5 linked regions of the Sus scrofa genome follow. The protein of the gene in region 1 purifies or fractionates together with the protein of each later gene. This does not show direct contact. Links are inferred from orthologs where the notes say so. Each region holds a gene or a part of one and is shown in the gene's direction. Other genes may lie near its edges.

Region 1 (5,255 bases):
TGACATTTTAGTTGTCTTCCTGTCTACAGACATGCTTTTATGCCTTTCAGCTTAATAACTGCAATGATTTCTTATCACTCCGTGCAATCATAGAGCCTAGAAATATTCACGCATCCTGCCTCTTTGTTCCTTAGCGTCCTACAGCTAAAGAACTTCTGAAACATAAATTCATCGTAAAAAATTCAAAGAAGACTTCTTATCTGACCGAGCTGATAGATCGATTTAAGAGATGGAAGGCAGAAGGACACAGTGATGATGAATCTGATTCTGAAGGCTCTGATTCGTACGTGCAAATTATTCAATTTTTATGTAGACAGCACATTTTAATATTACAACATCTTTTAACTACAATCCAATATGCTTTCCCAAGCATAAAATATAAACTCTGCTCTAGAGTTTGACTTTAGAAACTGGCCATCTTTTAAAATCACAACCTGTAGAGCACAATGAATTTGGAAACAGATTTTTTTCTTAGAAATGAATTGCTTTAGTTTTAAATGGTCTTGGTCTAACCCCTAGTGGATACTTAAGTATATTACAAAATTTTGGAACAAGATTCAATTTAAGGTGTTTTCTTAGTTTGCCCAAAGTGATACGGAGCTATGTCTTCTCATACTTTGGAGGCAACCTGCAAAATCCCTCTGGAGAACTAACTTTTCCCACTTTTCTTGGCCATGTACCAAAATGGTCAGATTGGTACATACTTATTTATATCTGATTTCTATCCCCTAAAATGTTGCATTGTTTTTTAGCTGCAGCAATTTACATTACCATTTTAGCCTCTAAGTCCATAACTTACTTAATTCAGCCTAAAAAGTCTGCCGGCTACACCAGCATTTATTCCTCCACTGGGTGAACTGATACCGAGGTAACACCAATTTTTTTTAGATAATACCTGCATTTATGAGAAATCTCCCAACTTTTGAAAAGGATAAAAAAAAAAAGATCAGGATAGGGGTTCCCACTGTGGCACAGAGGGATTGGGAACCTGGCACAGTGGGTTAAGCATCCGGCATTGCTAATACCCACGGCTCAAATCTGATACCTGGCCCAGGAAGTGTATGTGCTGTGCAATGGCTTAAAAAGAAAAAAAAAAAATGAGGATGGTTTTTTGTACCCTGTTCTACTCTCTGTTGCCTTAGCTGCCCATGACACTCACCCATGAAGCCTTAAAAAAAAAAAAAAACAAATCACTAAGCCACACTACAGGGGATCCTGATCCAGTCAGTGGGAAGGGGTGGGGGCCGGCCTTTATATTATGGAGTTAGAGGTCTTCACATGTGATTCTGGTACACACTTTAGAGTTGAGAACCACTGCTGCTGTCCCGTAGAAAGTAGTGTCGACTTGAAGCTGAAGATCAAATGATTTTTTAACACATCGGGACAGTTTTCCATTCAGAATCTGACAGCATTGACTTGGTATTTTCACCACCTATACCATTTAGGAACTTATGGAAGTATCTTTGGCCATCTCTTTAGGGAATCCACCACCAGGGAAAATAATACTCATCCCGAATGGAGCTTTACCACCGTGCGAAAGAAGCCTGATCCAAAGAAGCTACAGAACGGGGCAGTATGTATATCCAGATGTTCACCTCCTCTTGTTAGGACTAGATAGTGCGATTATGATGGCCAAACATTGTTAGAATCGAATACCCCTGAATGCCTGTCCGTTAGTTTTGAGCTAATTAAGAAATGATCAGAGAAGTCTTTTAAGTGGCCATTGGTATGTTTTAAAATGCATTTTCCCTAGAGATAGCTAAACCCGGTGGAAACAGGTCTATCAGTTGGAATCCTAGAAGTTAGAGGCCTCTGGATGATATAGATGGGAGTTATTGATGGGAAGAAAGCATGAAGACTTGCCTTACATTGGGTCTTTGGGGGGAGGGATGCAAATTAACACACATGAATGATTATTTTCATTTCATGTATATAATTTATAACATTTGTTCAAAGGAGCAAGATCTTGTGCAAACCCTGAGCTGTTTGTCTATGATAATCACACCTGCATTTGCTGAAGTAAGTACAGATTCATTAGCTTTGGAGATCTATTTGAAGAAGTATAGTAATTGTAAATGTTATAATTATTGATCTTTCTCAGCTTAAACAGCAGGATGAGAATAATGCTAGCAGGAATCAGGCAATTGAAGAACTAGAGAAAAGCATTGCCGTGGCCGAAGCTGCCTGTCCTGGCATCACAGATAAAATGGTGAAGAAATTAATTGAAAAATTTCAAAAGTAAGCTTGAAATGTCATTTTTTAAAATCGATTTTGGAGCGTTACCACTGTAGCTCAGCGGGTTAAGAACCCGACAGTGTCACTGAGGATGCAGATTTGATCCCTAGCCTCGCTCAGTGGGCTAAGGATCCAGCGTTGCCACAAGCTGTGGCATAGGTCACAGATAATGGCTTGGATCTGACATGGTTGCTGTGGCCGTGGCATAGGCCGGCAGCTGCAGCTCCAGTTCTGCCCCTAGCCTGGGAACTTCCACATGCCACGGGTACAGCCCCCAATAAAAGCAAAAGGAAACAAAAGAACAAAACAACTATTTTGACATGTTACTGCTGGATGTTCATTTATGGTGTCATAATTACCTACTTGATTCAGTCATTTCGATTATTCCTAACCAAGTCCATTCTTAATAGTCACATACTTGAAACCTGTTCTGTTTGTGGCCCATCTTCAACACTAGCTTTTGGATTCTTCTCTTCGGGCAGTACAAGGTAGTTTGCCACTGAATGAAATGGCCTGTGGTTTTTTTTGGTTTTGTTTTGTTTTGTTTTCCTTTCCCTGTTCGTAGGCAGGCGTATAGACAAAAGGTCACAGGGCATGATCTTATTTGGACCCTTGTAAATACCATTTAGAAATGCTTTCATTCTTGCCACTCTTCTTATCGCACTGCTATTCACATAGTTTCAGTGCCAAAGTTCATCAAGTTTAACCCCCATAAGAAAAGTTAAGGAAAGAATTTTAGGTATAGAAACTCAGTGAAGACTCTGAAAGGTTCTCATGTCTATATTTCAGTGTCTATAGTGCCTCTTAAAGTGTTGGTTTAATTTTGTTCACATTCAGTGAAGTTCTTCCATTTAATTTTTTAATTCTCTTTTTAAACAAGACTTTTGTATGCATGTACAAACACACGCAATTCCTTAGCTCAAGCAAGTTATAGAGCAGTACTAATCTCAGCCTTAATCTCGTTATATCACTTCTTTGTATTTGTGATGCCACTGGGATCAAGTTGGAACAGACCAGACAGCCTGTAAACCACATACTCTCCTAGATCTTTCTTGCTGATAAAGTCTGTTTGTACTCATCAGCTAAAGCCCCTCTTAAAATCCTTTCGTTTTTAATGGAAAACCTGCCCTCTCTTCGCCAGCTTGCAAACGAATCAGTTGCAAGTTGTAAAATCGGACGCAGAAGGGATTTTGGAACTCCTTTCTATTTTAATGTCTACATGATGAGAGGCAATAGAAAAAAAAATTGTTTGCTGCATCAACTCGATTGCAGAGTTCATATGAATGAAAAATGTGCACATGCATAGTTATATATCAATTTAAGTTTTTCTTAATTTTATAGGTGTTCAGCAGATGAATCCCCCTAAGAAATGTCTTGTTATTGGCTTCTCTTTCATATGGACCCAGAGAAACCCACCAAAGCTACTTCAAGCTTAACAATGCTTAACTCATGAGCTCCATGTGCCTTTTGGATCTTTGCGACATTGAAGATTTGAAAGAAGCTATTCAACTATTTTGTGATGGTGTTTATCATTTTATATTTTAAAGAGATTATTTTGTAAGAAATAACTTTTAATACTATAGTTTCAGCTGTATTCTAGAAAAGGTTGAGATACAGTTTTGCTTTTAGGTATCATTATTACTTAAGTTACTAGGATGAATACCTTTCATGTTTTGATCTTTAGTTAACTGTACACTCATGAAACATACAGGTATTTCACAGTCATCCTAAATATTCAACTTTCGTAAGTCATCAAGCTTCAAAAAGCTTTTTTTTTTTAACACAAGCATATTCTAAAAATGACTCTTGGAAGGGAGGTGGAGACAAGTCAGACATTCTTAAAACAGAAGTTTTTTTGATAAGCTTTTAGAAATGACATCTGGAAAGGTATTGACTCTTCTACCAAGTTGATGGTATTCCAGGCAGCTCAGTGACAATCACATTGGAGAGCCCGGTGTTGGAAGCATTTATAGGCAACATGTAGCAACAGAGGTACCTCTTGGTGTGCAGTATTTACCTTCTCTTTTAGAAGAGGCAATTGACCCTTCTTTAAGTTAACACGTTGGAAAGTTAAAGCAATACCAATTAGCCGAGGATGGGTTTTTTAGTAATACTGGAAGAACTAGTCAGGATTCATTTTTAAAATCACCTCAAATCACATATCATATGCTTGGATTTGGGGAGCTCAAAAGAAGCTGATCATAATGTGATCATAAATACCTGATCAACAGGTATGACTATAATTTACACCAGCATATTTTTGGCATGGTAGTAAAATGTCTTATAAACTATTTATACATTTTTTTTTTGTTCTTCAAACTATCCAGTACATGTAAGCATCATTTGTTCATTTTTGAAAGGGTATTTAAGCATTTTTTGATTCACATGAAAATAATCATAGTACAGGATGATTTCTGCCCGCACAAAGGTAAGTTAGACTGTACAGTTAAATTTTCAGTTATATTTATGGTACTGTTACGTGGGTAATACCTTTTTCCTTTAAGCCCAGTATATATATTATGCTTGCCTAAGTTCTGAAGTGGGGCTATATTTCAGTAGTTGTAGAATTATTGATATTGATTAGTTTTAATAGTTAATGTTTTATTGTTTGGATCTGCACAATTTGGTTTTTGCACAAAAGTCATTTTAATACATCTGAATAATTGCCAAATATTAGAAGAAAGGTGTTCTTGAAGTAAAGAGTATAGTTTTTACAGTGGCCATTACCTCCTCCTTTTTTTGTAATAATGCAGACACTTGAATAAGTAGTTCATTGCGCGTCATATGCCCAGCAGATTTTTGCATTGGTGCCTATACTGTAACAATTACTTTTAACACGTATTTTGAAGTAATAGTTCAGTTAAAATTTTCAGCTGCTGTGTAACGCTATGTAATTGCAGTTTATAATTTGTAGAGGTCTGGTAATAGTTTTGCAAATCACATCGTGTACTAAATGAATATTTTTGTAAAAGTAAAAGCAACAAATTTTTAAATTGATAATTTGAAACTTTACAGCGCAA
Region 2 (5,905 bases), on another chromosome or scaffold:
AGTGAGAATACGTTTCTGTTGTTTTAAACCCCCCAGTTTGTAGTAATTTGTTACAGCAGCACTAGGAAACTAATACAACTTGTGGCAGCAGGAGGAATCCTACAGAACTCCCAGATTTGTTTACTTCCAGTCTAAAGCACTTATACTCCACCATTTCCTCCCCAAACCAACCATAAACATTTAGGTACACCTACCTAGGAAGTTTACCAATTTGGAGAAAAATTAACACACTCTATAATCTTTAGCACTTCTTAATAAATTGTTACCAGACACACAGTAGGCATCTAATAAATACTTACTGCCACATTGATAAAATAATAGACATAAAAATGCTAAGTTGTGATAGAAAATAAATAGCCAATAAGGACAACAAGCACAGGGAACTATACTTAATACTTTGTAATAAACTTTAAGAGAAAAGAATCTGAAAAAGAATATATATATATACACACACAAATGTATATACGTGCATATATATACATATATGTATAACTGAATCACTGTGCTGTATACCTGAAACTAACACCACGACATTGTAAGTCAACTATATTTCCATTTTTTTTTTTTTTTTTGTCTTTTGTCTGTTGTTGTTGTTGTTGTTGTTGTTGTTGCTATTTCTTGGGCCACTCCCGCAGCATATGGAGGTTCCCAGGCTAGGGGTTGAATCGGAGCTGTAGCCACCGGCCTACGCCAGAGCCACAGCAACGCGGGGGGGGCCGCGTCTGCAACCTACACCACAGCTCACAACAATGCCAGATCGTTAACCCACTGAGCAAGGGCAGGGACCGAACCCGCAACCTCACGGTTCCTAGTCGGATTCGTTAACCACTGCGCCACGACGGGAACTCCTCCATTTTTAAAAATTAAATTCAAATGGTATGTTTAAAATGATATGTTGTTATACAAATTTAAAATATTACAAACCCACTTTCAACCTCTGTGTACACCTTTGTACCACACTCTAAATTTATGCACACATTTTATATATTTGAAGCATCACAAAACTTCAAGTTCACAAGACCTGCTTCTTTCACCAGCTCCAGAGGTGATAAATTAAAAGGAGAGCAATCTGAATACCCTTAGGACACTGAATCCGACAAAGCAAGGATGATCTCATTTTGGCTGGGTCCTCCCACACTCAGGAATGGACATGTGGGAGCTCAGGGAGTCAAGGGAGCTGCTATAAAGGAAGTAGGCACCAGGTCAGCCTGGGAGTAGAGCTGGGTGGTGGTAGGTTAACAAAGGGAAGGAGGGGCAGGAGGGAGGAGCTGATTCACTGGGACAACTTAGAGTGACTCACTCAGAAGCCAGCAGAAAATAGCCTGTTCTCCCACATCTGCCTCATTGTCAGGCAATGAAGCACTTCCTCATTGCACACCCATAACGCAGGGCAAAGGGGAGGAGGAGGAAATGGGATTTTTCAAATTCGTGGGCCTAGTCCAGCACTTAAACTCTGTTTTTAACCATTCCGGACATTTTGTTTCAAGTGAAGTCAGTATGTATTGAGCACCTACTGTGTTCCTGGCCCTTCATCTTGCCTTTCAGATTGTCAGTCTCCTGCATACGGAGAATGATGCTCTTCTGAAGTTCTCTACATCCTACTTTGTTACTTCAAAAGCACTTGGGCTGCTGTTGAGCACCTCAGTACGGTCTTTTTGTCCTTCTTATATAGAGATGATCCTCTCAAGCCTACAGTCAACAGGGGGAGGGAAGGAGCTTTTTTCTGTCTCCAATGCTGTTTTTAGCCATCCACTCTCTGGACCAGTCCTCCTTATAGGAGCAGATGTGCAGAATGTAGCATAGTTCACTGATCCTTGTTGGAAATTATTTACCATTTACTACCTCTATGGCTTTACTTGATTTCTCTGAATCTCTATTATCTCATCTGTAAAATGGACAGAGTGCTATCTATCTTACAGGTTAGGAAATATTTTTCATATGGTAGTGAAGATTAAATAAGATACCATTATGTGAAAGTAACTGGCACAGTGATGACACTAATATTGGTTTATTTTCTTCAGTCTTCCCTCTTGATCACACAGACTGACCACATCCCTCCACTAGACTGTAAACTGCTTGAGGACAGGGCTGCATCTGGCTTGAAGCAGTCTGCCTGGGTGAGTACCTGACCCCTAATACTGTTTTGCTTAATAAGAACTGTGAAGATTAGAATAATATTATTAAAATTTACACTATTTATGCATCATATTGTAAGTATTTATTACATTATACCTAAAAATAACAGGTCATTGAATCAATCTGTGAAGTGGAAAATGAATCCAGAAACCTTGACCTCAGGAAGGGATGCATCCTCTCCCCTCTCTGGATTATTTGGTCCTGGTAGGGCTTGCTGCCACCAGCAAGATCTGCATTTCTGTGTTCGCAAGGGACAGACATTCCTTGCATCCTCTACTGTTCTTTGTCCCAACGCCACTGCAAAAGCCCTAGCCCGGGGTGTACTGGGGCCAGGGACACAAGAAAACCTAGACAACCAGATTTTATTCGTTCCACCCCCACCTGGAAGGCAGGTCGGGCCGGGTTTGTGCTCTTCCGGAGCCACCCGTGTCCCGGCTCCCCGCCCGGAGGGGTCCAGAGCTACTATTCTCTTCTAAAAGTAATGTGAAAAGAGAAGTGGGGGGGATGGTCCTCCGGGTTTTGCATCTTTGCGTCCTTGCTTCTAGCAGAAGCTCATCCAAGGAAAAAAAGAGCAGGCAAGCCATGTTACCAGGTTTTCAACAATTATTTCTAAAATAGACACTAAAGCACACTTCACTTATTAACATTTTGGATGAAATGAAACATTAATATGCCCGATCAATCAGGGCACCGGAAACCGGCCTTTCCTAAGCTTCCCGTACCACGACGGTAAACACTAGCCACAGTCCTGTTCAGGAGCCGCATCGAAGGAGGAAAGTTGCAGAAGCCCGGCGGGGAGAGGCGCGAGCCCACCCGGGAGCCCCGGCCGGAGAACGGCGCTTCCTCCCGGAAATGACGCGCACTCAATCCCAGCTTGGCTCTCCCCAAACAAAAGGGATCCAGGGGCCCCGGGAGGAGCGTAAATGACATTGGAGAAGCCCCGCCTCCAGCCGACTCGGATTGGTGCGGGGGCTGAAGAGACGAGGAGACGACTGGCCCTGCGGAATGCCAATGCCCCCGCCTGGCGGTTGAGGGGCGGGGCCTCCGGGGGCAGTGGATGCAGCGGCTGGCGGAGGCGGCCGGGAGCCGAGTCCAGAGCGCAGGGAAAAGGTAGGAGCCACTGGTGCTGGGGCTTGGCGGTGGCTGGGAGTCCGGATTCTCGAGAGAAGAGCAAGGGTAGGACCACTGGAGTCCTCCCGCCACCGTCCCAAATGCCACTCGCGCCCATCCCTTGAGGGGGCGGGGCGGTCTCCTCTACCTCCCGGTATTCCCAGAGGAGGCAGCTCCTCATCCTTCGTGGGTGCTCGCAGCTACTTATTGTCCCCCTTCAATCCCAACTCCCCAGAAGGGGCTGCCCTTCTGACAAGTCCCCCATTTAAGGCCCCCCTCGCCCAGCTCCTCAACCTTGGAAGAGGACATACAGGTTCGTATTCCGTAGTCTGCCGCCTCCCACCCCCATTTTGTACCCCGGGAAAGACAGACATTCCCTTCCTACACCTGTCCCTGCCCACTGTGGTGGGACCAGAGCTCCTTTCATCCGTAAGATAAAAATCAGTGTTTTCAAAAAAGAGAGAGGTCGAAGTAAAAATCAAAGACCCGACCTAGACATCCAGCTCCAGGGACGAAATCAGCCTTCCCCAACCTGGGTTCTTCCCATCCCCCATTCTCTGATCCTCAGCCTTCCTCCGAAGCCCCTTGGGTCCTCTTTTCTCTCTTGGCGAGGGCTCACCTGTTTCGAGACTTTTTTAGATTCTGGAGGGAGGAGAAATAGGAATCTTCCCCACCCCCTTTGTACCTTTACTCTCTATTCTTTGAGGGAGAACCGAACCTCTAAGGGATTTTTTTAGGTTTGAGTTGTTTCATTTTTGCTTTACACCCTACTTCTTCCCTGAGATCTTGAAAAACCATCCTTATTGTGTTTCAAAGTGAGGTGGGCGTGTTGGGTATCTACGGGGTTGGCCCTGTGTGCCTAGGAATGCAAGTGTATATTGTTGGACTGTCAGTGAATAACGGCATGCTTTCAAGTGAAACAGTACAGATAAGTAAATAAAGAACTTTACATTAGGAATGAGTATCTCCCAGTCTAGGGTGGGCTCCTCTGTTGCTCAGGGAGACTGCAGTTAACCTTGAAGGTATAATTCCTTTGAAACAAAAGGCAGGAAGTGTTTGAAAAAAATTCAGGTTCAGTGGTCTAGGTTTATGATTAATCTGGTCCAGTGGCCTTTGGTTAGTCCTTAGTCCTGATTTTATGGTAGGTTTTTCCTTCCAGGTGATACCGATATATATGTAGGGAGAGAGCTGTTGATTGATCTTCTAAGACCAGTATCTTCTACCAAAATTCAGGGGATGAAAATTGAAAGTAAATTTTAAATCTTAGAGACAAGGATAAAGAAAAGCAAGGTAAACTCTGGCTATTCACACACATGACTACCAAAAAGTGTCTCTGTAGGGTGCTCATAAAGGCCTTCATTTTGTGAGGTGCAGAAGAATATTGATGGTTTTGGCCTAATGTTAATACCATTGAATCCCCAGTAATCATCTGTTGCTAGCACTTTCAAATATTAAAATTTGCCATATTTGTTAGCGTTGCTTCTTTCGCTTTTAATTTGAAGTCTTCTGCTGTTATCTTCAGCCAAAGATACTGAGTGGGATGCAAGGAGTTAGAATCACAGAGGACTGTCCTCTACCTTCCTGATGAGACTTTGTGAAGGTAGACCTCCTAAAGGTAATTAATTCTGAATAGTTAGGTTCGAAGTTTTCAGAGCCAGTCTTGGTGCCCACAGATCTGCTCAGTGATTGTTTCCAGATCTCCAGTAAAAAGGCTCAAAGAAGACACTGCGGAGGCTCTCTCCAGTAGACACAAAGTCTACTGTGATAGGAGGGTAGGATGTGGGCCCCCAGCAATATGCAGCAGAAAAAACTAAAAGCAGAACAGGAAATCCCAAAAAGATATATCTCATTACATGAGCAGAGAACAGAAAAAAACTAAGGTAAGAGACTAAGGAAGCCAAAGTTGTAATGACTGCCTGAGCCTTGATGAGCCCAGAGGGAAAAGCAAATAATGCTCTTTGACTTACTTGGCACAATAAACAAGATCCGTTTGACACACGTTTGGATCTTGGAAGTCTTTTTTTTAGCTTTTTTAACACCTGTTTGGTGTTGAAAAGCATAGTACGTGAAGATTTTTTTATGTCTACGTCTAATCTATCTCATTAAATTATAAATTCTTTGGGAATTCCTTTCGTAGCTCAGCAGTTAACGAACCCGATTAGGATCTATGAGGATGCAGGTTCCATCCCTGGCCTCACTCAGTGGGTTAAGGATCCGGCGTTGCCGTGAGCTGTGGTATAGCTCGCAGATGTGGCTCAGGTCCTGCGTTGCTGTGGCTGTGGTGTAGGGCAGCAGCTGTAGCTTCATTTCAACCCCTAGCCTGGGAACTTCCATATGCAGAGGGTGCGGCCCTAAAAAGCAAAATAAAATAAGTGTTTGTTGAACTTAGTTTGAAGCTGACACCTTAGGGTAGACTAGAAAGATAATTTACTGATAATATATGGTACATTTGTTAATATAAACAATCCATTTCTTTTTGCCTTGATTTAACTTTATTTTTCCTATCTGCTATCTTTTGAAACTCTAATATTTTAAGTGACTCTAAAATACTGAATTTTGTGTAAGAAAATATCTGCTGGATAGATATATAATTTTGTTGTCATGAAATCTGAATCAGACTGATTAGGGTAATCACTGCTAGTTATTTTAGGATTTAATT
Region 3 (6,022 bases), on another chromosome or scaffold:
TAAACCTTCCTGGAAATTTACGAAACCATTCAGCAAATACCATGTTTATCGTGGTTTTCCTACCATCCTTCTTTGAGTTCAGTTACCTCCCATAGAAGACCCCTTTAGTGGCTAGTGCTTGTTTTCATCTTAGCCCTGATTGCATCAAAGTGAAGTTATCTCTATTTGAAACCCTCCTCTCCCTATCCTTATCTCACAATACCCAGGTATACTCTCAGAGGGCAAGGATTGAGATTTGGTTCATCTATGTGTCTTCAGGGCCCAGCACAGAACTTAGAACAGGGCCAAAACCCTGTATGTAAGAATTGAATAGTATTTACTCTTTCATGAGCAGATAGATTACTCCCTTGAATTCTCACAACAGGTGCGTTAACTATTATCTCCAAGTAATAGATGACAAAACGAAGCTCGTAGAGGTTTAGAAACTTCCCCAAGGTCACAGAGTGGTGGAGCCTGTTGTCAAAGGAATCTGAAGAATGACGCCATCATTGATTCCAAAGGACCTCTCTCTCTGGAAAAACATGATTTTAAACTTTCAGAAGTTGCACTAATTTCGGGGTAGAGTCAGCGCTAGGGGCCTGGGAAATAAGATAGGCCCAGTGAGAAGAATTGTCATTTGAAATGGAACGCAAGGACTAAGAAAGAGTTTTTCCTCCGGGTAGGATACATAGCGAAGACTTTAAAGAGGGCGGATGAATCTTGTTACAGATGCACAAATCCTGAGACTTGTAGGAATTTAGTTGTTCACACCTAAGGCGGCTGTTGGGGTGGAGGTCGGGGAGCTGTGCTGCCCACAACTAAGATGGATGCTAATAACAGCTCCTTTGGATGGGCTTGGTCTCCTTGGGCGTTGATATTTTCAATGAGGACTCTAGTGAATAAAATTTAGTAAATGCTAGCGCCTTCTTACCAAGATGGCAAAGTAGGAAGTTGGCACGTTATGTTTAGAAAACCTTCAACAGGTCAAATTTTTTCTTGCCCATAACCAAAATGGTGGCAAAGGTGTCCCACGGTTTTGAAGCGTCCAACCCTTAACTAAGATGGCGTGCGGAGGCTTGTTAAAAAGGCTTGCCCTCTTTTCTGCCCTTGACCATCATGGCTTCCGCGGCGTCTGTCACGTGATGCCCCGACTACGGCGCGGGAGAAGGGGTAGGAGGGCCCTTGAAGGGTGCGCGTTCCCGTGGCGGTGCACCGGGTAGGTTTCAGTCAGAGTCACTATGGCGGCCGGAGCTGGCAAGGTAAGCTGAGGCGGCGGCGGCGGTAAGAGAAGCTGGACCCGTCTTGGCGTCCGGGCTCCCAGTCCCCGCGGCCCCTCAGCGGAAAGGTCGGCCGAGTCGTGGCCAGTCGCGGGGGCTGGTTGGGGTGGGCTGAGGGGGTTGAGGGCTGAGGTGGGCGGGCACCGGCGCTGACGGCCGTTTGTTTTGATGTTTTCCCCACCAGGTCGGAAAGTTTCTGTCGTCGGGCAGAGCCTGAGCTTGTCCCACCGGCTGCGAGCGGTGGAGGCTGCGGCGGACCCAACCCGGGGCCTCCAGGCCTCTCCCCCAACCTCCGGGCCAGCCTCCCTCCCCCACCTCCTCGTCCGTCGGGAGCTTCAGCTGCGGTCCCTGAGATGCGACCCTCGCGGGAGAGACTCTGAAAGGAGGTGGCCGGTGTGCTGAGGAGCAGCCAGGAGCCCAGGAGTCCAGGGACCAACTTCCTGCGGGCCGAGACCCCGGATCCTCCCCGGGGTCGCGCCTCGCTCGGTCACCACCCGCCTGCTGAGCCGGATCCCCGCCCTGGTCGCGGGGACGCCCGCCAGGTGCCCGGAGTCCCGCCTTGGCCGCTGCCCTAGCTCCCGCCGGTCCCCGTTCCTCGTGCCAGGGACTCCAGCCACCGCCACCTCGTCTCGTGCGGGGCCGGGGACCCTGTGCCACCTCCCGGCCGGCCTTCGCGGGAGGGGCAATGCAGACTGTCCGGCTGGCCGTCTAGACCCCTGCGCTGGCCCCATCGCCTCTCGTCCCTCCAGTCCGGAGGCCCTCGAAGACGGGCGGTGGCTGCCCAGAGGTGCTCAGCTACACCTTTCTTCCGCCTGAAAGGACCTTTCTGGCCGCAACGAACCGACCCTTCCTTCATGCTGCAGTGCTGCAACATTTCCGCCACCGAGGGGGGAAAGCGGCCGCGATCCCAAACAAAACCCAAGAATTGGCGTGTGACTCATCTGCTTGGATACCTCCAGTCCCCAAACTGTCTTCCAGGAGTTTTCTTGGCCGAAGCTGTCCAATGTTTGAGCCTTTTCTTCCCAGGGAAGAAGATGGACTGAAAGCTACCAGTTGGGGACTTGGTGTGATCAGGGCACTGCTGGGTTTTAAAGGAGGTGATGGGGCTTGCGCTGACTCGTCTTCCCACCCAAGTGAAGAGTTGTTGATGTTCACTGGTTATGCTTGGACAATGTGCAGTTTGTTTTAATTTAAAATTTGGTGGGGGATAGGGGTAGAGGCTTGTGAAGGGTCCGGATCCGGTGGACCTCCTCTTTGTCCCTAGTAGGAGAGACACCCCCAGTCTGTCCTCGATGCCGTCAGCCTTGGCCATCTTCACTTGCCGCCCGAACTCACACCCTTTTCAAGAGCGTCATGTCTACCTGGACGAGCCCATTAAAATCGGCCGCTCGGTGGCCCGTTGTCGACCAGCACAGAATAATGCTACCTTTGATTGCAAAGTGCTGTCAAGGAACCATGCTCTCGTCTGGTTTGATCACAAGACGGGCAAGGTAATGTCACTACGTTGTCTAACAATCTTTGTTTTTCGTTTCTCTTTGCCCTTTCTGCATAAATGTATGCAGGATCCCAGGGCTTGCACCCAGAGGACACTTTCAGCAAGGCCATGGAGAACCAACTTTTTGTGTGACTGGTTCTAGTGGAAATTTGTTTGAGGTGGTTGAATGGAAAACAGAGAAGGTATTGTAATTTAACACCCTGAGAGGGCGATGACATCTTGATAATATGGTCATTCCCAGTGAAATCCCAAACCCTAATTTGTTTTAGAAAACTAGATAGTGAAACTTGGCTTCTCGCTTTTAGTCTTTTAAGAAAGGTGAATTTGCACTTCAGTACTTGATGAAGCAAGTAGCAGTTCCCAAAGCAATGCAGGGAATCCATGGCCAGTATTACACAGGGGCTCAAGTGTCTCAATGGTGAAATGCAGTTAACACAGTGTCTTTGAGTTGAGTTCAGAGCAGGGTCTTTCTAGCAAGGACATTGTTTGTGTAAATTTACATTTTTGAAAGATTTGATACGTATTTACCTACAAGGGAGTAATTTGCAAAGCCAATTTAAGTATGAACAATTGTAACTTTATAGTTTCAGAATTTTGTTTGTAAGTTAGGTGAACATATACCAATTGCTTTTGAGGATCACTTTTTGATGTTCCCTGCAGCATTTATTAAAAACACCTAATGCATACTTATAGAGGTGATATTTAAAAGTCAGTGTTAAAATTTATTTTTTGAAATTATATCCAGTTCTGTTGATTTTTGCATTACCTAGATGTGATAGGATAAATTTAGTGTTCTTCATTATAAGTGTGACCATTTTAGCATTTTTATGTTGGCACCCTGATTAACTATACATGGGGTGCTTATATTTTAAGGATACAAGAAAAAAGTTAACTAAGACCCTTTTGATTTTTTAAACCTATCTGTGTGTGTGGAGAGTATACTAAAGAGCTCATCTTTGTCCTAAAACCTAACTTTAGTTAAGCTACTGAATCAGTTCCAACTTAGAGTAAGTTATGTAAGACTAATAAGAATATCTCGGGTTTCACCTCCTGACTTTTTGGTCCCTCTGAGTTGAATGATTAAATCCTTTTTAAGAGAAGAATTTAAGTGTTCTTTTAGAAGAGTAGTATTTTGAAAAAAAAAAAAAAAAAAAAAAAACCCTGAGCCTCACAGGGAAGAGAGAAAGCAATACTTCTGTTGCTACTGAATTAAGGAATTGTTATATAAATCATTTTTTTCAAAGAAAGGAGGAAAAGATTGCTCAAGTGCCATGTGCCTGTGTAATAGCTATGTCTTACTCTGTACATATGATGAGAACTGAAAAGTATGTTAAAGTATAACACGATTTGCTCATTTATCTGTGGAACATACCCCTTTTTCCTCATAGATTACCTGTAGTAATTTAAATAATTCATCTTTATAGTAAATTCAAACATTAGTTAACTGCTAGTGCCTTAACTAGCTTTCATATTTTTTCATTTTATGTCCCTGGGCAAGAGTTAAGGGCCAACCTAATCAGATACTAATTTTGCTTGAAGTACATAGCAAATACACCTTCTTGCCTTTGGTTTAATACTTAAAGGAGGCTTAGATTTTTTTCTTTTACTTATTTGAAAAATAGCGGCTATATACAGTGCTTTTCATGGTTATACTAAAACTCTCACATTTGGTTATTTTTACAGTAACTAAGAATAGATTAATAATGAGTGTTTATTGGGAATTCCAGTTGTGGCTCCGTGGCTTACTGAACCCTACTAGTATCCATGAGGATATGGGTTCCATCCCCATGCTCACTCAGTGAATTAAGGATCCGGTATTGCTGTGAGCTGTGGTTTAGGTTGCAGATGCGGCTTAGGTCTGGAATGGCTGTGGGCTGTGGCTGTGGCGTAGGCCAGCAGCTGCAGCTCTGATTCACCTTCAAGCCTGGGTACTTCCATACGCTGCAGGTGCGGCCCTAAAAAAAAAAAAAAAAAAAAAGAGTGGTTTTATTGTATAATTGAGATGACAAGTTTTGAATTGAATTTGTTGTTAGCAAACTTGATCTTTAAAAGATACACAGCTTATTTCTACCATTTGAACTTTCCCACCTCTTGCTTTATTAGTAAAATACATTTAGGATGTAGGGGCCTTTACTTGAGGTATAGATATAATTATTGATTATTAAACCACCTAATCTACTTAAAACAAATAGCCTGTCAGATCTAGCCATGGGATTAAATTGTTTTAGGAATTAACTGTTTAAACTTTAGATTTGAACAGATGCTAGGTTTTAATTGAGCGTCTGTTATGTGTCAGATAATGGTAAGGTACACAGTTACAAAGAAAATTGATAGTTTGACCAAATATCATTTATTGTTTTCTCTGTGTAAAATTTCCAGTATGAGAATTTGTTATAACAAAAGTCCCTAGGAACTAATGTATATTCATAGCAAATTCCTTTGTACAATACTAGAATCTCCTCCTATAAGCATCGCCTTAGGCAGGTTTTTGTTTTTTTTCCCCTAGACATCTTTAAACCTCAATTTTCTGGGGATGAAAATAGTATCTTTTATTGTTTCCAGGATTGAGATAATCATGTAAATCACTTAGCACCCTGTTCCCGGCCCTTATTAAGGGGTCAGTCCTTGGAGAAGAGGGTGTTTGGGGTGGGGGGAAGAAGAAACTATCTAGGGAGCTCTTTGCAATTTTTTGTAGTGCTATGGAATGTAAGGAGGGTAATGAGACATTATTATCTTTCATGTGATGATATATGTGGAAGTTATTTTTTAAATTTAAACATGTGAAGTTGAGAACCTTGTCCACATTGGCACCTTACCTGGGAGGTGGAAAATTATGGCAATATGCCCTTTTGTTTGACCTTCAGTTTGTGAATGTTGCATTCTGCTATTAAGGGAGGACCAATAGAAGCTGGAAGAAATCACACTTAAAATTTTCTGATTATTCTTGTAATACATGTATATTATAGGAAATTTGCAAAGTGTAGGCAGGGGGAAATCGAGGTAACACTTTTTTTTTTTTTTTTTTTGTCTTTTTGCCACTTCTTGGGCCGCTCCCGCAGCATATGGAGGTTCCCAGGCTAGGGGTCGAATCGGAGCTGTAGCCACCGGCCTACACCAGAGCCACAGCAACGCGGGATCCGAGCCGCATCTGCAGCCTACACCACAGCTCACGGCAACGCCGGATCGTTAACCCACTGAGCAAGGGCAGGGACCGAACCCGCAACCTCATGGTTCCTAGTCGGATTCGTTAACCCCTGCACCACAATGGGAA
Region 4 (6,060 bases), on another chromosome or scaffold:
AGAAATTAAGTAGCCAAAATCATAGGATAAATTTCTCAGATCAAGGAACAGATCAAGGGGAGAATCTAAGATTTTTCCGGAATTAAAATGGGATACTGTGATAAAAGGACAAATGAGATGAAATAAATTTAGCCATTCATCCTACTGTATTCTACAATTCTATAGAAGACAAGAAGTCATACAACCTAAGAACATCTAAAGAGTATTAACACCACACAAGTCTTTTTTTTCTTTTTTATGGCAGCACCCGTGGCATATGGAAGGGCCAAGCTAGGGGTTGAATTGGAACTGCAGCTGAGGCCTTGCTGCAGCTTGTGGCAATGCTGGATCCTTAACCCACTGAGTGAGGCCAGGGATCAAACAGCATCCTCACCAAGACCAGTCGCATTCTTAACTTGCTGAGACACAATGGGAACTCCAACATCATACAAGTCCTAACATTTATTTTATAGATGTAGTGTCTAAAAAATACTTTAAAAAGTTTCTAGGAGATATACACAAAATTTCAAAGAAATTTCTACAATTTAGTGAATGTTACATCACTGAATGGGGAAGGAAATAAAGGATGAAAGAGGAAGATAAATACAAAATACAGGCAGATACCTGCTGACTAGACTAGAAGCTCCCTGAAGACAGAGTCTATTATTCATCCTAGCCTCTAGAATCCTTGTATGTAACTTACACTCAATGTTTACTGGTGAAAAAAAAAAGGACAGGCTGTTCTTTGTCGGAGATAAAGACCTGAATCACAAGAAAACTGCAATGAAATTGTACTGTGATGCCTAGGTATTAGAGATCAGAGGTTCTACATAAAAATCTACAACCGATAAACCCAGAAGAAAGCAGAGAAGGAATAGGCCAAATACTTACCACAATCATTCTCCCATCAGAAGTAATGACAGCAACAGTTCCTGATAACTGAATCAAGGAAAGTGTTTCTCAGGGAAGGCAAAGTGAAAATTTTACATTTGACAATGGTTTAAATTACTAGGAAAAAAGGTGACAGAATTAAAATACAACTATTTAAATTACTAGAAAAAAAAGGTGACAGAATTAAGATACAACTATTCAACACATTTGCTCTCATGTACAAATCTGTTGCTGTGTTGAATACTTTACGTTGTTCAATTCTTTGTGACAATTACACAATTAGAAAAATATGGAAAAAGAGCGTCCCTTTCTGTACATGATCAGTCTATTTGATCTTAAAACAGCTGGGGTGTTGTTTTTGTTTGTTTGGTTTTTGTTGTTTTTTTTTTTTAAGTTGAGGAATATTGCCAGTCTGGCAACTGGGAAAGATATTTCTCCCTTTCTTAGATCTGTTTCTTCGTCTATAAAACAAAAATTGGATCAAGGCTAACTAATCAATCCTGAATTTCAAGCACCTTAAGGCAGTCTTTTAGGACTTGGCTTCTGGGATTCAAAAGAAAAGCTACAATCAGTGTCATCATTGATATTAATATGCTTGCATCATTAAAAGCATTTAGCATTTCACTTTTGTCCCAAATTTGTACATGAGAGCACAACATAGTGTTTCTGTCCTGAGACTTAAAACGGTAACAGGGGTACAGTGTACTTCACTCAGACTTTTTAAAGTTACCTGCCCCTCATAACGACCCATCACGACAGCAAACATCATTTCAATTCCATCAACAAAGAAGTTAAATTTTCAAGTGGTAAAAGGGCAGAAACTTAGTTTGTGCACAATATGTAAAGGTTTTTTGGGTTTTTTTTTTTTTTTTTTTTTTGCTATCCTCGATCGATTAGCAAAGCCTATGCATAAAACAAATACATGGATTTATAAGACCATCGCCACCGCTAGTAAAACCGTTCATCTTATACCGTATAGACCCTAGGAAACATAGTAAAGTTGAATCAATAGCTGATTTCTATGGAGACAAGGAAAAGTTCGGAATAACCACGTTGGTGTATTTTTTTCAGATTAAAATTAGAAGACACCTTGGACTCGCAGAAACGATGGTTTCCAGCCCCAGCGGGGGGATTGGTGGGTCCCAGATCCTTAATCCCCGCACCCGCATCCCGGGCCCCGAAGCGTCCCAACCTCCCGCCGACCCCCACCCCCGGCCTTTCAGCGCAGACACCGGCCTCGCCACTGCCCCACCTAAAACCCGCGGCGGGTAGTTCGAGGATACGGTTGATGTAGTTCTCCAAGGCGGACGTCATGATGTTCGGCCGGGCCGCTGGCCACACAGCAGGGAGGGTGACTACAGAAGCTAAAAGCGCCCGCCAGGAACCAGCGGCGGCTCCCGCCGACGGGCGGCGCAAATACCGCGAGAGTTACTGCGCAGCAGCCTCCGCGAATCAGAGATGGAAAGAAACCGGCCAACCGACCGTACCCGAGAGGCAAAGCGATAGGCATTTTACTGCGCGTGCGCAGTATGTTGCTGCTGGTTTCAGGGCGGTGATCTCGGAAGCCGAAAGGGACCGAAGCGAAGGGGAGGCGGAAGAGAAGCAGCAGCTTCCTGCAGGTGGGGTAGTGAGGAGACGGTGGGCGAGCGGGTTTACTAGCGGACTGGAAGGCTTTGTGGCCGAAGTTGCTGGGGAGAAATGTTGAAGACAGAGAAGGCAGGAGAAAACGGGATAAGGTGTTTTCATCACAGGCGAAATAGATGAGTGCTGTTCTGGTATGAGATGTCTACGCGGGGAAGTGGAATCTGATTTTCTGCCGCACAGGTCGAAAATTAACCTTTTAGAAGCTAAATGGCCCAGAGCAAAGTTGCACACGTTGTAACCGTACGGTATACATGTCTGGAGAACACAGCAATAAAAAGCATGCTCGCATAGTCTGCGTTTGCCTCTAGAAGTGCTCCGTCGTGGAAGCGTTGTTATTCTTTTATTTAAGAAACAAACAGAAAAGTGTGTGAGTCTCCCTTAGAAAGCAGCCTTTTACCGCGCGGCAAGGTCTCCCTACCCTCAGGGTGAAATTAGTTACTCTAAGACAGGTTCGCTGCAGCACCCTGGAAAGGACTGATTCAGGAAGGGTCTTCTAGATAAGCACCAAACGGCCTAGTTATGCGGTGGTAACAAAACTGTGGGTATCCTGGCACGAGTAACAGCAACTCATTTGGCCCTCAGTTGCCTTAGATGCTGCCACAGCCATCATTTTGGATATTTCAATGTTATTAGAAAGTTTCACTCTTATTTTACTGTGGAACCCTAATTTCAACTTGAAGTTAGAAAAGCATCTATCTATATACAAAATACCAGTGAGAGTTATTTGCCCTTTTTACAAAAGCGCCTTATGATTACAGTTAGGCTTGTGATTTTTTTAACTGAAAAATTGTGGATTTGAAAACTCTTGCAGTGTCAGCAGTTTTCTTCTGAAAAGGCAAGCATCTGTTTTCATTACAGCATACCGATCACTCCCCAATGTTTAGTATTTTATGTACTGAAACTTACTCTGACCTGTTTTGAAATCACATATACTCAGCAGTTAGGTTGTGAGTGTCTTAGGATTTTTTGGGTGGTGGTGAATAGCTTCCATAAATTAAAAAAATGAAGCTATTGTGTGGTTTGCAGATGTTCGACATTGAACTAAAAGAAAATTAGTGATAAATGAGATGATTAGTAAGGAGTTTTTAAAAAGTAACATGCCAAATATTTAAAATGAGTAATACATGTAGTTTTTCATAGAATGTGTTTATATTGAAAATGTTTGCTAAAATAGATAGTGATTTACAGAAGTAATTTCATCATCAGTGCATTACAAGTTTATGACCTTATGTAGTTTCCATTAAATTAATAATATGCCAGATAAATAACAGATGTGTGGTGTTTATGGAGCATCCCCAAATCTCTTTTATTTGAAATTTTTTTACACACATTTTAATACCATGTTTTTTGTAGTCCCTAATGATTACAGATGTGGAGAGAAAGCCTGTGGATAAAGAAAAGAAAAAAATAAGACAAAAAAAAATGAGTTATGTCTGGCTACAGACATTACATATGTGATTTAACTAAATTAGCCTTGTGACTTTGGGAATACATGGACTTAGAGAAATCAGCACCTTAAAATAGAGAAATAAGTTAAAGCTCCAACAGAGGGAAATAATTTATGTAAATATCTGACAATTGAAAAGTTAAACAGAGGTAAAATTTGGAACTTAAATCAAAATCAATGTACTACTCATTTAAATACTGTTAAAGAGTCAGAGTATGTTGGAATGCTTTTTATTTTGTTAATAAAGCACTTTTATTCCATTAGTTCTAAATCTAAACTTTGAGCAGAAAACTAAATTTTATTTTGTATTTAGTTCTCTTAAGATTTAAATGAACTCAATATTTTATATATCTCTCAACCCAGTCAGGAATCTCTATCTCAGTAGTAAATACAGCTGCCTATATCTAAAACAACAATCAAGAATAGGGCAGAAAAGAGATGGGAAAGGGTAGAAAGGAGTTTCCTAGATAACTGACATTCTTGGAGTCACTTTCCATTAGTAGAAACTAATGGATATAAAATGTGTCTCTCTCTGGTTAATAATTCCCCTGAGAAGCAGGACGTAACTCATCTCCCTTTGTATCCTGTATTTCATTAACCTGAAGAATCAGATTCATACTAGATTCTCAGAAAACTGAATTTGCACTTTCCTGTGAATGGTTCATGGGAAAAAATGATAAATGGAAAATTAAAATTCTACTTTTAACCTAATATGATAGGAACTTTTTACTTTTATTTTTATTGATTTGTATTTCTACAGGTTCCAAAATTGTCAACCAAATAGCAGTATACATTGAATAAATCTTTCTAGGCTTCTCCAAGGCAGAAAAGGACATAAATAAATTCTGATCTCTCCTTACAAGGAAATTCCTGAATAGATGCAGAGCTTTAATTATAAACACAAAATAATTAGTGTATGGAAAAATAATAAACATCCCAAATTATAAAGAAAGGTAATTGATTTGGAAATATTAGTTGATTTAACACTATGAGTTACAAAGTGTTTTTCTCATCTATATCTATTTTTCCTTTTAAGGTATTAAGATAGGCATTTTTAACTCAGTTTTTTAAGGGATGGAAAAAATCAAATGTAACTGAAATGCTAATTGAGAAGTGTATAGGATCATAATTAAGAACACTGATTTAGGAGCTAGCCTCTTTAGATTTGGATCCTATGTGATTTTGAGTGGATTATTTAACCTTCTTGCCTCAGCTTCCCCATCTGTAAAATGGAGAAATGATGGTACTTACATCATCAAATTTTGGGGGGACTAAAAGTGTTTTGGTAAAGCCTGGCATATTATAAGCACTCTATAAATTTCAGTTATTATTGCTCATGGACATAGACCATATCACAGTTAACCCATTTCTCAGTCCCGAAGCTTGTTCTGTTAACAATATTTTGTTCACTGCCTTTTTTTCTGATTGGACAAATTGAGTACTACACATTTTAATTGCTTAAGGAAGAGGAAGATGGATATATGTTAGAATCTTGTAACATTTTATGAAAAAGGTAAGACAAATTGGGGCTTGAGTAAAAGTACAAATTAACTTCAGGAAAATTAATCAGACATTAATTATTTGGTGGAGGTAAGAATTGAGGTTAAGGCTAGCAAGACTCCAGGTATGAGTTTCTGATTTGTAGCAGTGGGAGTGGAAAGGCAGAAGACATTTGATTCAAAGATAGTGAGTAAGAAAGGCAGGGAGGCAGAAAGCAAATCACAGACTGCCTAGTGATAGTGGTTGGTGAATTGGAAGAATGGCCAGAGTAGGGAGATACAGGAAAAGACAGGGGTGCTTGTTAATAAAGAAGATGGGGCCAAATTGTAGAACTGTGTAGGTCTGACACTGTGCACCAGCCAGTGGTGAGGCCACCGAACAGACTGGTCACACTGTCAGTGGCATACACAATACCTTAAAGGTCTGGAGAACCAACCTATCTCAGTAGGTCCACTGTTTCATTTATAAGAGATAATGCATATTAATAAAATCTTATAGGAGTTCCTGTTGTGGCGCAGTGGAACGAATCTGATTAGGAACCATGGGGTTGCGGGTTCGATCCCTGGCCTCGCTAAGTGGGTTAAGGATCTGGCTTGATG
Region 5 (5,721 bases), on another chromosome or scaffold:
TAATAATTTTAAAAAGAGAAGAGAGTTTGACATACACACTTGACAAGGTAAACTAATAAAGCAATTAACAAACAGCACAAAAGTCATGCTATTCTAGTTAAATTTGTTTTCAATTAATAACTGAATTAAAATTGAAAAAATAGATAAGCAGAAAATAATGACTCCCTCTTACACACATTAAGATGGCTATTAAAACAACAACAATGACAAGAACAGGGAGCACGCTGCTGGTGAAAATGTAAAATGGTGCAGCCACCATGAAAAACAGTATGGTCAATCCTCAAAAATTTTTAAATAGAACTACCATATACCCCCAGCAATTCCACTTCTGGGTATACATTCAAAAGAACTGAAAGGAAAGACTCAAATGGGAGGCTCATACTGAGTGAAGTAACTCAGAAAGAGAACGACAAATACCATATGATATCATTTATATCTGGAATCTAATATATGGCACAAACTAACCTTTCCACAGAAAAGAAAATCATGGATTTGGAGAACAGACTTGTGGTTGCCAAGGAGGAGGGGGAGGGAGTTGGGATGGATTGGGAACTTGGGGTTAATAGATGCAGACTATTGCCTTTGGAATGGATTAGCAGTGAGATCCTGCCGTGTAGCACTGGGAACTATGTCTAGTCACTTACAATGGAGCATGATAATGTGAGAAAAAAGAATCTATATGTGTAGGTGTAACTGGGTCACCATGCTGTACAGTAGAAAATTGACAGAACACTGTAAACCAGCTATAATGAAAAAAATAAAAATCATTGCATATAAAAAAATCAAATGGGTATTTATTACATGTGTTCATAGCAGCATTATTCACAACAGCCAAAAGGTGGAAACAACCCAAGGGTCCATTAATGGGTGAATGGATGAACAAAACATGATATGTACATAAATATAGATGTAAATATAGATATCAGTTAATATTTTTGTCTTTTTTTTTTGTTTTTTTTTTTTGTCTTTTTGCCTTTTCTAGGGCCACTCCCACAGCATATGGAGGTTCCCAGGCTAGGGGTCTAATCAGGGCTGAGAGACCCTGGCCTAGCCAGAGCCACAGCAACTCGGGATCTGAGCCACGGCTGCGGCATACACCACAGCTCACAGGAACACCGGATCCTTAACCCACTAGGCAAGGCCAGGGATCAAACCCGAAACCTCATGGTTCCTAATCGGATTCGTTAACCACTGCGCCCCGACAGGAACTCCCAATATTTTTCAGTCTTAAATGGAAGGAAATTCTGCTGTACATGCATGAAGCTTGAGGACATTATGCTGAGTGAAATAAACCAGTCACGAAAATGACAGTTATGATTTACATGACTCCATTTATAAGTGGTACCTAAAGTAGTCAAATCCATAGACAGAAAATAGAAGAGTAGTTGCCAGGGGGTAGGAGGAAGGCAGAATAGGAAGTTAAAAATTTGACTGCAGAGTTCCAGTTTTGCAAGATGAAAAGAGTTCTGGAGATAGATGGTGATAACTGCACAATTTGAATGCACTTAATACTACTGAACTATGCTTCAAAAATGGTTAAGATGGTAAATTTCATGCATAATTTACCACAGCTTAAAAAAAGAAAATATTTTTAAAAGAATGACGATAACAATACACATTAATCAAAACCACAAAGGAAAGGAGAAACTTGGACTAGCCCAGCCATAACTCAACTTGACCATCAGGCCTTGCAGGAAGCCAAGGGCGAGGCAAGGGGAGGCCTCCGCCACTGGGCACATATAAAGGCTTCGGGGAAACCGCGGCTTAAAGCGGGTCACCAGCTGACCTGGCTCCACTGCGCAAGCGCTATAGGCCATCACCGAGGCGCCTTTAAACGTACCCGGAAGTGACGTCACTAACGCTGAGACAGGCTCAGGACGGATCTGAGAGGTTCCTACAGCTGACCGGCGCTGGGGCTGTGTTCCTGTGGAGGCTATGAGCTGCACCATCGAGAAGATTCTGACCGATGCTAAGACGCTACTGGAGAGGCTGCGGGAGCACGATGCTGCGGCCGAGTCGCTAGTGGACCAGTCCGCGGCGCTGCACCGGCGGGTGGCCGCTATGCGGGAGGCGGGGACAGCCCTTCCGGACCAGGTCAGGCAGAGGGTAGGGGTCCGTGCCCTCGGGTTCTGGGCACTTTAGGGGTGGAGGGTGAGATAAAGTGGGAACGCGACTTGGAATATATTCCTGGTCCCCGAGGGCAGCGGTGAAACCTTTTTGCGGGGTCGGGGATGAGAATGTTACCCTGGAACACTGCCTCCTGCGTCTTCAGTTGCATTTGCGGCTGTCTTGTTTACGGCGCGATTAGTATGTCTCTGTTTGTCCAGTATCAAGAGGATGCATCCGATATAAAGGACATGTCCAAATACAAACCTCACATTCTGCTCTCCCAAGAGAATACACAGATTAGAGACTTGCAGCAGGAAAACAGAGGTTAGTCAGGCCTTTTTGTGTAGTTATGATTTTCTCATATGCAGTAATATTTAAAGAGTTCTTGCAGAACTGACAAACCATTCATAAAGATACACATGCTGTATTGTCCAAGTCAGTACTTTTAACGGGAAAGTTGTCCTGTGCCGGCCCAGTAGCAATAAAATGTGTTACATTCCCTTTTCAAGGTCATATAACTGATTTTTTATTTACAGGCAGCTCATCAGAAAGGTGTGTAGTAGAGTTGAATACTGCATGGCTTATTAGGTGTCCCCAGATGGAGTTAATATGCTTTGTGTGTGTGTCTTTTTGTCTTTTCTAGGGCCGCACCCACGGCATATGGAGGTTCCCAGGCTAGGGGTCTAATTGGAGCTGTAGCCGCCAGCCTACATCACAGCCACAGCAATACCAGATCTGAGCCACGTCTGCTACCTACACCACAGCTCAGGGCAACCAGATCCTTAACCCTCTGAGCAAGGCCAGGGATCGAACCTGCAACTTCATGGTTCCTAGTTGGATTTGTTAACCACTCAGCCAGGAGAGGAACTCCTGGCGTTAATATCCTTAAGGGCTTAAAATTTAATTTTTAAATAATTGAAATAAACATTAAAGTTAAGATCAAAGGGGTTTTTTTATGTTCTTGTGCAAGGCGGAAGAGCTAAGTTTTATCCTCTGGTGTATATTCTTGGGCTTAATGAATACATTGCTAATGGTAGTAGTATGAATAGCTATTTGTATATCAGTTTTCAGAGGGAATTACATATACCATACACTTGTATTCTCATAGCTTTATTTTGAAGTAAACAAGCCAGGTATTTATTATTACAAGGCAGATAAGAAATAGAGGTTAAATGATTTGCTTTAAGAGTAGTAAGCTAATAACTCAAAGAACTGGACTTAAACTTATGTCTTCCAATTCCACATCCCATGACTCTATCAGTTGATGCTGCTTCTGCCTAGACAGATATTTTTCACATAGTTAAGTTTTGGGGACTTCAACACTGATTTACAACTTTGGATTCCTAATATCCCATGGAATGCCATAAACTTCCAACTGTTTGAGTGTGGCTTTAGGAGGTATCTCTCAGACATCACTGCCAAGTTTTTTTATTTTTTGATAGAGCTATGGGTTTCCTTGGAGGAACACCAGGATGCTTTGGAACTCATCATGAGCAAATACCGGAAACAGATGTTACAATTAATGGTTGCTAAAAAAGCAGTGGATGCTGAACCAGTCCTGAAAGCTCACCAGTCTCACTCTGCAGTAAGAAACTTTTGTGAAAAAATTTTAAGGGAACTGCATTTAAATCTTGAAATTGTTTTGGATTGTGTGTTCACTTTTGAAGAAAACTAAGCTGTTTTCCTTTTGTGTTTTATCACATTTGCTGTTGGTTTTAGTATATCTTTGTAAAGATATGAATAAGAAGACTGGGGAAGGTAACATTGTTAATCAACTGTACTTTAATAAAAAAAATTTTTAAAGTAAAAAAAGGTGGGTAAAGAGCTGCTCAGGGCCTTTTATTTGAGTAATTCCAAAGTTCCTCCCTCCCTCACTGAGATCTTGTTTCAAGATGTTAATGAATGCTTCGTTCTTCTACCAGACAGAATGCCAGTTAATGTTGAAGGGGCTCAGTAAATACTTGAGTGGTTATTATTGTATATTTCACTAGACTTTAAGCTCTTTGGTTGTAAGGAGCTTGAATTCCATCTATTATCTCTAACATGGTACCTGGCACATAGCAGGCAGTCTGTAAACTATACAACATCAGTATCTATACTTTAGTTACTTATGATTTAATTTGGGAGACCCAGTAATTATTCTGTTTTCTTAACATTTTCATTTTTTCTGTTATAGTTGATTTACACAGTACTTGCTCATAAGTTTGTGGAGTGTTTCACAGTTCTCATTGTATATTCACATGTACTATATCATTTAATACATGATATAGTATGTATTACTATATCTCACTCTTTGCTGCAGTGGAATTTCTGGAAGATAAGTTTCATCTTAGATTCCACTGAAAACATTTTACTGACTTTAGTTAAAAAACTCAGAGGAAATGGGTGTTTTGGGGGGGTTGTTTTTTTGTTTGTTTGTTTGTCTTTTTGCCTTTTTTAGAGCTGCTCCTGTGGCATATGGAGGTTCCCAGGCTAGGGGTTGAATTGGAGCTGTAGCCACCAGCCTACACCAGAGCCACAGCAACACGGGATCCAAGCTGCATCTGCGACCTACACCACAGCTCAGGGCAATGCCAAATCCTTACCCCACTGAGCAAGGCCAGGGATCGAACCCTCATCCTCATGGTTCCTAGTCAGATTCGTTAATCACTGAGCCACAACGGGAACTCTGAAAATAGGTATTTTAAATATGCAAATGGCTTTCATCTGGACAAAATAATAATCTGTAATCCAGAAGCAAAAACTTGAACCTTGAAGGAGACAGAATTTAGTTTATATTAAAAACTTGCTGGGAGTTCCCTTTGTGGCTTAGGGGTTAACAAACTCAACTAGGATTCATGAGGATGTGGGTTCGATCCTTGGCCTCACTCGGCATTGCTGTGGCTCTGGTGTAGCTTGGCAGCTGAAGCTCCGATTGGACCCCTAGCCTGGGAATTTCCATATGCCGTGGGTGCAAGCCTAAAAAGCCAAAAACAAAGCAAAACAAAACTTGCTAAGAGATGTGACCAAAGATACAATAAGATACCTTGGAATGTGGTAAGTTTGGTGCCAATAAAAATATTTGAATTTAAGTTAAATAGCCATTTAGAGATACTCTCCAACATGCAATGAGTGTTTAGACCAGAATCGATTTTCTGGAAACAAATTACCTGTGAATATCACAAGGTAACTTTATTGTGGCTTTATCTCTGAGGACTGAGATTATAGTGAAACTTCTGTGTAAGCTCTGTAACATAGATTAAGTGAACTTTTAACATCATAGTGCACATGTTCTCATGAACTTCCTATCTGTAAAAAAAGATGACTTTTCCACCTTTTTTTTTTTAATATCATCACAGGAAATTGAGAGTCAGATTGACAGAATCTGTGAAATGGGAGAAGTGATGAGGAAAGCAGTTCAGATGGATGATGACCAATTTTGTAAGATTCAGGAAAAACTAGCACAATTAGAGGTAAAATTGTTGCTATTTTAGGTTCACAATATTTTTTGTTGTTATTGTTTGGTGGGGGTTTGGGTTGTTGGAGATTTGTGTGTGTGTTGTTTTTGTGTGTGTGTGTGTGTGTCTTTTTGCCTTTTCTAGGGCCGCTTCCTAGAGGTTCCCAGGCTAGAGG

The links. Proteins that work in one complex are often made in the same cells at the same time.
Region 2: the proteins of STK26 (region 1) and CTTNBP2NL purify together in Homo sapiens (affinity purification with mass spectrometry; 4 studies listed by BioGRID and IntAct, with this or other methods). This does not show direct contact. The link is inferred for Sus scrofa from reciprocal best matches to the Homo sapiens genes STK26 and CTTNBP2NL.
Region 3: the proteins of STK26 (region 1) and SLMAP purify together in Homo sapiens (affinity purification with mass spectrometry; 5 studies listed by BioGRID and IntAct, with this or other methods). This does not show direct contact. The link is inferred for Sus scrofa from reciprocal best matches to the Homo sapiens genes STK26 and SLMAP.
Region 4: the proteins of STK26 (region 1) and CTTNBP2 purify together in Homo sapiens (affinity purification with mass spectrometry; 4 studies listed by BioGRID and IntAct, with this or other methods). This does not show direct contact. The link is inferred for Sus scrofa from reciprocal best matches to the Homo sapiens genes STK26 and CTTNBP2.
Region 5: the proteins of STK26 (region 1) and SIKE1 purify together in Homo sapiens (affinity purification with mass spectrometry; 4 studies listed by BioGRID and IntAct, with this or other methods). This does not show direct contact. The link is inferred for Sus scrofa from reciprocal best matches to the Homo sapiens genes STK26 and SIKE1.

Annotation. Positions count from the first base shown.
Region 1 is NC_010461.5:108,233,669-108,238,923, forward strand, and holds the end of STK26 (serine/threonine-protein kinase 26), read left to right. Parts: intron 1-134; coding exon 135-283; intron 284-1,479; coding exon 1,480-1,573; intron 1,574-1,956; coding exon 1,957-2,019; intron 2,020-2,101; coding exon 2,102-2,238; intron 2,239-3,576; coding exon 3,577-3,601; 3' UTR 3,602-4,001; downstream 4,002-5,255. UniProt on the Homo sapiens protein: Serine/threonine-protein kinase that acts as a mediator of cell growth. Modulates apoptosis. In association with STK24 negatively regulates Golgi reorientation in polarized cell migration upon RHO activation.
Region 2 is NC_010446.5:108,008,887-108,014,791, reverse strand, and holds the start of CTTNBP2NL (CTTNBP2 N-terminal-like protein), read left to right. Parts: upstream 1-2,027; 5' UTR 2,028-3,246; exon of another isoform or gene 3,247-3,559; intron 3,560-3,577; exon of another isoform or gene 3,578-4,861; intron 4,862-5,905. UniProt on the Homo sapiens protein: Regulates lamellipodial actin dynamics in a CTTN-dependent manner. Associates with core striatin-interacting phosphatase and kinase (STRIPAK) complex to form CTTNBP2NL-STRIPAK complexes.
Region 3 is NC_010455.5:39,570,817-39,576,838, forward strand, and holds the start of SLMAP (sarcolemmal membrane-associated protein), read left to right. Parts: upstream 1-2,144; 5' UTR 2,145-2,548; coding exon 2,549-2,746; intron 2,747-6,022. UniProt on the Homo sapiens protein: Associates with the striatin-interacting phosphatase and kinase (STRIPAK) core complex, forming the extended (SIKE1:SLMAP)STRIPAK complex.
Region 4 is NC_010460.4:28,128,059-28,134,118, forward strand, and holds the start of CTTNBP2 (cortactin-binding protein 2), read left to right. Parts: upstream 1-2,182; coding exon 2,183-2,489; intron 2,490-6,060. Other genes in the region: LSM8 homolog, U6 small nuclear RNA associated, read right to left, coding at 871-911, 2,154-2,184. UniProt on the Homo sapiens protein: Regulates the dendritic spine distribution of CTTN/cortactin in hippocampal neurons, and thus controls dendritic spinogenesis and dendritic spine maintenance.
Region 5 is NC_010446.5:105,777,953-105,783,673, forward strand, and holds the start of SIKE1 (suppressor of IKBKE 1), read left to right. Parts: upstream 1-1,843; 5' UTR 1,844-1,935; coding exon 1,936-2,094; intron 2,095-2,327; coding exon 2,328-2,433; intron 2,434-3,551; coding exon 3,552-3,694; intron 3,695-5,447; coding exon 5,448-5,561; intron 5,562-5,721.